Oreochromis niloticus: one gene and its partner. The protein of the gene in region 1 interacts with the protein of each later gene in a pairwise test. Links are inferred from orthologs where the notes say so. Each region holds a gene or a part of one and is shown on either strand. Other genes may lie near its edges. The genes, in order: srfb and elk4.

What was found.
Region 2: the proteins of srfb (region 1) and elk4 interact in a two-hybrid assay, tested with the Homo sapiens proteins (2 studies listed by BioGRID and IntAct). The link is inferred for Oreochromis niloticus from reciprocal best matches to the Homo sapiens genes SRF and ELK4.

Annotation. Positions count from the first base shown.
Region 1 is NC_031978.2:24,480,752-24,484,673, forward strand, and holds the start of srfb (serum response factor b), read left to right. Parts: upstream 1-1,472; 5' UTR 1,473-1,954; coding exon 1,955-2,605; intron 2,606-3,922. UniProt on the Homo sapiens protein: SRF is a transcription factor that binds to the serum response element (SRE), a short sequence of dyad symmetry located 300 bp to the 5' of the site of transcription initiation of some genes (such as FOS).
Region 2 is NC_031970.2:38,506,559-38,510,480, reverse strand, and holds the start of elk4 (ETS domain-containing protein Elk-4), read left to right. Parts: upstream 1-1,027; 5' UTR 1,028-1,243; intron 1,244-3,543; 5' UTR 3,544-3,706; coding exon 3,707-3,707; intron 3,708-3,922. UniProt on the Homo sapiens protein: Involved in both transcriptional activation and repression. Interaction with SIRT7 leads to recruitment and stabilization of SIRT7 at promoters, followed by deacetylation of histone H3 at 'Lys-18' (H3K18Ac) and subsequent transcription repression.

The DNA of each region.
Region 1 (3,922 bases):
GGTGTGTGTGTGGAAGCAGAACTAGAAGTATTTGTACTTTATAGTGTTGGGCTGTAGTTTGTTAAACCACTTGTATGACCTTGTAAAAGTACATCCAGCACTACTTTTTTCTTTATCCAAATAAAAAGTCTCTGTTGTAGCCACTAGAGGGCGCTGTGCGGTTAGGTAAGGATTAAACCTGACCCTTGAGGCTTGCCAAACATTTTTTCCCCATTATAATTTGTTTACAGTTTAATGTGGTAACTAGCTTTTAAAGAAGTTTCCTCAATGGGTCTACGTGCTCAGTGAGTTTTAGCACTTCCTCAGTCGTTATGGGTCTCCTCCAAACTTTGAGCACTGTGCACTCTGTGTGTGTGTGTGTGTGTGTGTGTGTGTGTGCGCGCGCGTGTGTGTGTGTGTGTGTGTTGGGGGGGGACTTCGCTTGAGATTTGCACACAGCACCGTGCGCATGTCACTTTTTGGGCCTCGTTCGGTGCGCGTGACATGCCGAGAAGCAACACTGAATAGAAATGAGTCTGTTAACGCAATAAATGTCTTTCCACTGCGGTGATATTATAACAATTTTCCGAGTAAATCTGCGTTTCACCGAACTTTCGATTTTGTAGTTCACTTGCAATAAAAATCCCCTGAGCATCCTGCCACTGAACCATCTTCAAATGCCTCAAAACTCTGGCGTTTGTTTTAACTTGCCCGTAAGACCAGGTGGGTGGAGGTTGTTCCATCGTTTCAAACAGCACACCTAAGTGCCTCTGACTGATTTCCCTCTGATACTTTTTTTTTCTTTTAAATGAATACGGATTACACGTTTCAAAGAAAGCCTAATGATGAATGACATCAGTTTAAGCTGGTTTGTCCTTGCTGTCAGGTCTACTTGTAGAGGAGGAAGCCATCTCTGACGACACTGGTAACACATTTTACTAAGAGGGCTGGAATTGGTGCAAAGGTGAACAAGATGAAGCAAACAGACAGAGAATGCACCTTGCTTAACAGTGGCGTTATTAAAAAGTTGGTAGGAAGCAGCAGGCTTCATACTCAAGGGAACTTGCTTATTACAGTTACATTCCCTGTGCAAGTCGGTGTGCGATAATCTGGCACCTTAAATTATCTCATATTGCTGAATTATCTACAGTAACAGTGCTGCACACATGCGCTTCAGATAAAAGGAGATTATATAGTTCAACTTCCGGGAAAATGGGAGTTTGCTGTGTGTTATAGGCGCTACAACCTGTGGGTAATTAAGATAAATAAATAAAATAAAAGTTGGATGTTTTGTTATGTTGGTGCCTCTTTACTTCTCCACGGTGACGTTGTCAGTTAGCGCAACCATTTTGGTATTTATTCTAATGAGTGTGCTTCGCTGACCAATGACAGCACTACTCAGATAATCCTCAACCAATCCGTACACGACGCTGTGACTCACCAAATAAGGAGAGACAGCACCAAATAAGGAAACATTGTATCTCTTTATAAGGAGGGAAGTAGTTCCTCGGCTGAGGTATTACTCCGCTATCGCTTGCGCTGTCTTAAATTTTGAGGTTTATGTTCGTTTGTGACACGCGGAAAGAGAAATACTGTAACATTATCTGAGAGAAACTTCGACTTGTGTGCGAGCAAATCGACACTAGAGCTATTTTCGGTTCACAGGGCGGACTAGGTGACGTGGCGCAACAATATGGAGGTCGCTCTTCGCGCTTTCCTTTTTGAGAAAGTGCTCAGAGTTTTGGAAATAGAGGAGGAGGGTGAAGCAAACTGAGCCGGGGTTGAAGGGTCTTGGGGGCAGCATCACTTTCGAAAGTTTGTCTCGGTAATTTCCTGGAGTCTCTGAACCATCATTTGGTCGGGTTTGTTTACATATCGTGGCCCGGACGTGTATGCGTTTTATCAGTCATTTACGAGGCAACCGAATCCAGCTTTCTTGGCTGGTGTTTAAAAAACTCGCTCCAGTAAATATATAATGTTACCGAGCCAGGTTGGATCGGCACCATCTGGAAACGGCTCGGGTTCAGGCAGGGGTACAACACAACACGGCTCGGGGTTGGTCGGCAGCGGGATTCGTCCCGTTCTTGTCAGATCAGGGCAAGCTCTACCGGGGGTCAGCGAGAGTACCGGTGCTGCAGGGCGACAGGGGGACAGAGATACCATTGGGATGCTGGGAGCTAATGGTCCAGGGGGTCCGAGAGGTGCGAGGCCGGGGAACGGGACCGGTGTAAACCCTCTTCAGACTTCCGTTCAAAGCAGCATGGTGGGCTTAAGTCCAGGAGTCATGTTGCCTCACGGAGCCCGCTTCGATCCGGACCGGGAGAGTGCGCCTCTGTGCAGCGGCTCAGATAACGACTCGGACTCCGGAGATGATGACGAACCCGTGGGTTCACTTGGGGACAGCAGGAGAGGGGTGAAGCGGGAGAGAGGGGAGATGGAGGCTGCGGTGTCGGGACAGGAGGTAGGAGTATCGCCCGGAGGTTACAGCATGGTGCCCGGAGGGGTCGCCGGGGCAAAACCGGGCAAGAAGACACGTGGACGCGTAAAGATAAAGATGGAATTTATTGACAACAAGCTGAGACGGTACACCACATTCAGCAAGAGGAAGACGGGCATAATGAAGAAGGTGAGTCAGGTGATGCGTCTGGATCTCATCCAGCTGCGCCAGCGTTTGATTTGAGAGTCTCTTTTAGCTGTTGATTGGCCTGGAAGTACAGCAGTGTCACACTGTAGGGTGCTTTGCAGTCATTCATGGAAGTGCACTTGTTAATAACCTTTAAAAAAAAAAAAATCACAGCACCCTGGGACAGTGTGCATCTGTTATTACAATAACCACAAGAAAGACTTTGGGTTTGTTTTTGGGTTGTTGTTTTTTTTTTCATGTGAGCCTACATGCTGCTGACCTGATGTCAGTCTTGTGTCAGTGTATTTCTTATGAAAGACAAAGCCATTGTGGTCCAGAAGTGACTCAGTGGATGTGAGGAAGTCAGAACATTCATGACAGCCACTGGGCTTTAAATAGAATAGAGCAAATGACAGGTCTATTTATGACACCCCCAATCTCAACTATCACACACAGAAACTTATAAACTGACCCACTCATTCATGCATGCATACCTGCACACATACCCCCACACACCTTCACAGACATCCTTGCAACTATTAGATGTTGTTCTCATCACAAGTCACAGCCTGTTCCCTCTGTCACTGCTTACAGGCGGCAGCCATGTGGCAGTAAGCAGCAGTCGGCCTGTATGTGCCAACAGCTAACAAAACCCCAGGGAAACGGACCAAAGAACGGTCAAAGAACACTGAGACAGAAGCGAGAAGCCTGGGTTGTGTGGTAGTGGGGGGGTGCTGTCTGTCTGTGCATGCATTATGGTGCTGTACATTACACAGACGTCCAAGTCTCACTGATGACTTGTCCTGGTTTCCACTTTTGTCAGTTGACTCTGGCTCATAAGCAGGCGACATTAAAGATGACAAAGCTTGCTTCTCAGTCATAACTGCTCCCATTACTGTCTCCTTAAAGCAACATTTCTGAGGAAATTCACAGCTCACCCACACGATTTGATGCCACAATAAAACACCACAGTTTGGTATAGAGTCACGGAGAGTGGATTACTTGAGCTGGGGTCAGCTGTTGACCACAAGCCCAGCAGTTATTGTGATGTGGACTCGGCCACTTTTCATTATGACTTTAAATAAACACTTGTAAGCGGTGCTTTATTGGAGTCCAGGAGTTTTTTTCTCTTTCCTTTAACTTGTCCCTGTGTTTCTTCGATACGGCTGCACCATGCGCTCTGCTGTGTTTCTCTCTTTTTATGTATCCCAGACTGTTGTCGTGGAAACTGAGGTGTCTTTATGTAGGCTCTTGGCAACATGAACACTATTTGACACAGTGTGGGGATGGTTTTCTTTTCTCTTTTCTTTTTTTTTTTTT
Region 2 (3,922 bases), on another chromosome or scaffold:
GCTTCCACATTCTCACTTTTTTTTGCTATTAGATTTAATTACTTAGCAGTGCATTGGTGGATTTTTTTTTTTTTTTTTTTACCAAAAGGAACTACAATGTCACTCAGCAGCACAATTCCATAAGAAACTGGGGAATATACAGTGGTGTGAAAAAGTGTTTGCTCCTGTCTGGATTTCTTTTTTTGTATGTCTGTCACATTTAAATGTTTCAGATCATCAAACAAATTTAAATATTAGACAAAGATAAAACAAGATAACACTTCTAAATGAAGCTGTTTATTATTAAGAGGAAAAAATCCAAACCTACATGGCGCTGTGTGAAAAAAGTCTGTATTACACACTCAACGTTATGAGACGTTTGTTTTCATTTCTTTTTAAATTTGATTTGGACTTATATTATTATCTGTAAGAGCAATACGTTGACTACTACACAGAAGTAGCCCACTGCTATTTGGAACTTTTAGGTAAAACAATAACGTGACACCAAGGGTCAAGACGAGCCGGTGAAGGCTACTTTTCAATGTGTAAAAACTGAGTGGACACAATCCCTTTTTTCATGTAATTGCCTTGCGATTTCTGCTGTGGGGATACCAGCAGTACTGCGAACTGTGAGTAGAAACGTGTCATTTCCACAGCTTAAGTTGTTTAAATCACAAGTAAGTAAAGTACTATTGTTGTTTAGCCACAGAATATATAAATTAACTACAATGACTTTGACATATAACGACAAAGGAAGTGAGCTCAGCGTGAGTTTAATGACGCATTAACGTGCTTTTGGTAGAGCAGGAATTTTTGCAACCAAAAGCAGGTGCGAACGCTGAAGATTGCACGGTATAACTTTTAAGCCGATTTAATAATAACGCTGCTAACATTAAAGGCATATCCAGCAAGAAAAGCGACTATTCTTACACTAGTTTCGTAACTCGAAGGCGTTTGGTGCTCAGTTTCTACCAATAAAAAAATAATCTAGTGCCGCCAGCACACTGAAGCAGTTAAAGGCGGATAATTCACTGAATGGAAGTGTACGAGGAACGTTGAACGCGACAGTATTTCCTGTTCAGAGGATATATCGTCAGTGGGAGCCAAATACAGTTTAATGTGTTTGATGTTCAGGCATTTGCTTGACGTTCTGTTTGAAACTTGTTTCCTGAGCTATGGTCGTATAGAAAGCCCTCCGGAAATGTTTGGGGAATATTTCGATGCGGCTCGACGACTCGGAAATTCAGCGGGCTCCGCGAGCGAGGTAATGTTAGCAGGCAAAGCTAACGCCAGGTTAGCTAAATGCTAACTTAGAGTTAGCAAAATAACAGACTGCTTTGATTTGTTGGTGTACGCGGATGTTTGCGCTCGTGCTAAACGTAGCTTCGAAGCTATAGCTCGAGACTTTCAAGTCTCGAGGGGAAAAAAGACGTCCAGCCTGTGTTGACGGCGACGAAACTAGCAAACGTTACCTATCAACAAGTGGTCTTTTATTTTGAACTGTGTGGGTGCTTGGCTGTGAGAGGGGAGAAAAACAGCAACTCAGGTCCTAGCGTTCGCACCACACAGATAACACACTTCATTTGACTGATTTGACCTAGCTGACGTTATCTGCATAGATAACATTTGCAACTAATGTCAGGAGTTACATAACGTTCAGTGGTAATCTTCTTCCCTGGCACCAGTTTTGACACTGTCCTATTTTTGCCCTGATATCACCGGTTTAACACGACAGTTTGGGACAGATTGTGTGTGTGTGTGTGTGTGTGTGTGTGTGTGTGGGGTGGATGTCTGCATCCCAGCAGGTTTCGATGAGTCAGGACAGATTTATTATTCCCTGGCCCATAAGAAGCTTATACGCACACATGTTGACAGATACTGACGAGAGCATAAGTCATATTGAACCTGTTACTTGGACAAAATAACAAGAATCGCAGATAAAAAAAAGCCAGCGACACACAGCAGCAGCGATCACCTCAGTGATAAGTTTTTGTGCGCAAGAGGAGTGGAGCTGTGAATTACAGGTACATAAAACCTGCAATAGGAGCTGTTATTAAAACTGAAGAGTAAGCATGAGGAAAAAACGAGCTTCTTACAAAATAAAGCTTTTCCAAAACTACATCACTTGTGGATTATTGAGAGTGGGCTCCAAGCATGATCCATTAGACTTTTTAAATAAAGTTATGATGCATATATATGTATAACTCATCAGAACACCCCCCACGTGGGAGGCAGCACTCCAAAAGATAGATGGGGGTGATGTTGGGTGGCTTTTATTAATGCTTTTATTACAATCATTTGATAAATGCGTAAAAGAAAATCTTTCTCACTCACACACATTCAATTCTATGTACTAATGTCCTAATGAGGGAAAATGGTCAATAGATAACAGTTTGTTGCTGTTATTTATTTATTTATTTTTTTAAAGAGCACCCCTTCTTCCATTTATATCAGTGTGCATTGATATATTAGTCAACAAAACAAAAACCTTCTAAGCAAAGTATTACAAATTATTCCTATTCAACAATGATTAAGTCTCTCTAGTGTTTACCACAGAACTTATGATGGTAGCAAGGTTTTCCCTGGCTCGAAACTGGCCTTTATCGAGTTCTGAAAGAGTGTCAGTTATGTACCGTCAGTGTATCAGCAGAAGAAACTTTCCTCACAATTATAACGTGTGAATCGGAATCCTTTTATTGTCATTGAACATCATATGTTCAACCAAAATGGAATAAATAACAATAAAAAACAAATAAATAGCTAACAATTTAAAGAACAAACAAACAGATGTACAAGGTTTATGCAGATGTGCACTGTTGCGCCAAAGTATTGCGCTTGTCCTGTGTGGTGGTGATGTTTATGTGTATGTGTGAGTATGTTTTGTATGTGTGTTTGAAGTGCTGATGTGTGAGTTGGGGGTTGGGGCATGATAGCTTGGGGAAAGAAATTGTAACTGAGTGTGTAAATCCTGGTTTGGATGATATGAACTGAACTGAAATCACAGACCAGCTAAGTCTTTACTGTATGTGAATGGGCAATTTTATCAGATGCCTTCTCATTAAAAAAAATTGTGACTTTAGCAGTGAAGAAAAGCAAACCGCAAATTAAAGGCAGGTTTAATCTGTGTTAATATGTTTTTCCGGTACAGTCATCTGACAACAAAAACATGATGCGACCACAGAAAGTAGAAGAGAAGCAGAGAGATGGAATGTTTTTCAGATTATTCCTTCACTGAAAACATACTGGTTTCCCTGTTGTTGTGGCAGCATTGCTGTTGGAAATAAGTTAAGCACAGGGTTCTCAGTTCCTCACATACATGGACCTGTGCTGGTGCTGAATTATAGGGCTTGACTCAAAATGCTGGGAATTCTATGATATACTACCATTAAAGCCAGTAGGAGAGTGTTTGTGGCACAACATTTGGACAATGAACTGTACAAAAATGGAACCCAGTCAAAACCAGCTAGTCGATCCAGTGCCTTTTGGAAAATACAGCCAGTATGGATGGAGACAAAGACGTTGTATTTATGTGCTGTTTGTGCATTTGATTAATTGCATTCACAGAGCGCATGCATTGCAGTCGGTCCGAGATGGTGAAGGTTGATCTTTTCTCAAGACTCAACTCAAGAACTCAAAAAAACTGAATGATGTTGATGACCACCACGATAGGAACCTAACCAACCAGTGCAGAGCTAGCTGGTTAGCAGTGACTTAATTTTCAAAGAAGAGTGAGTAAATTGTGAAAAGTAAAGCAATTGTGTCATTGTGTTCAATGAATGAAATAATTAAATTAACACTGGCATACAGTCAGCATAGAGCTGTAGACTGATACCATTAGTACTATGGCTGGGCGATATGTGGAAAATCTAATCACAACATTTTTTGTCTATATCACGATACACTGTATACTAATGCTATTTTTAACTACATAGTGCCATAGAAT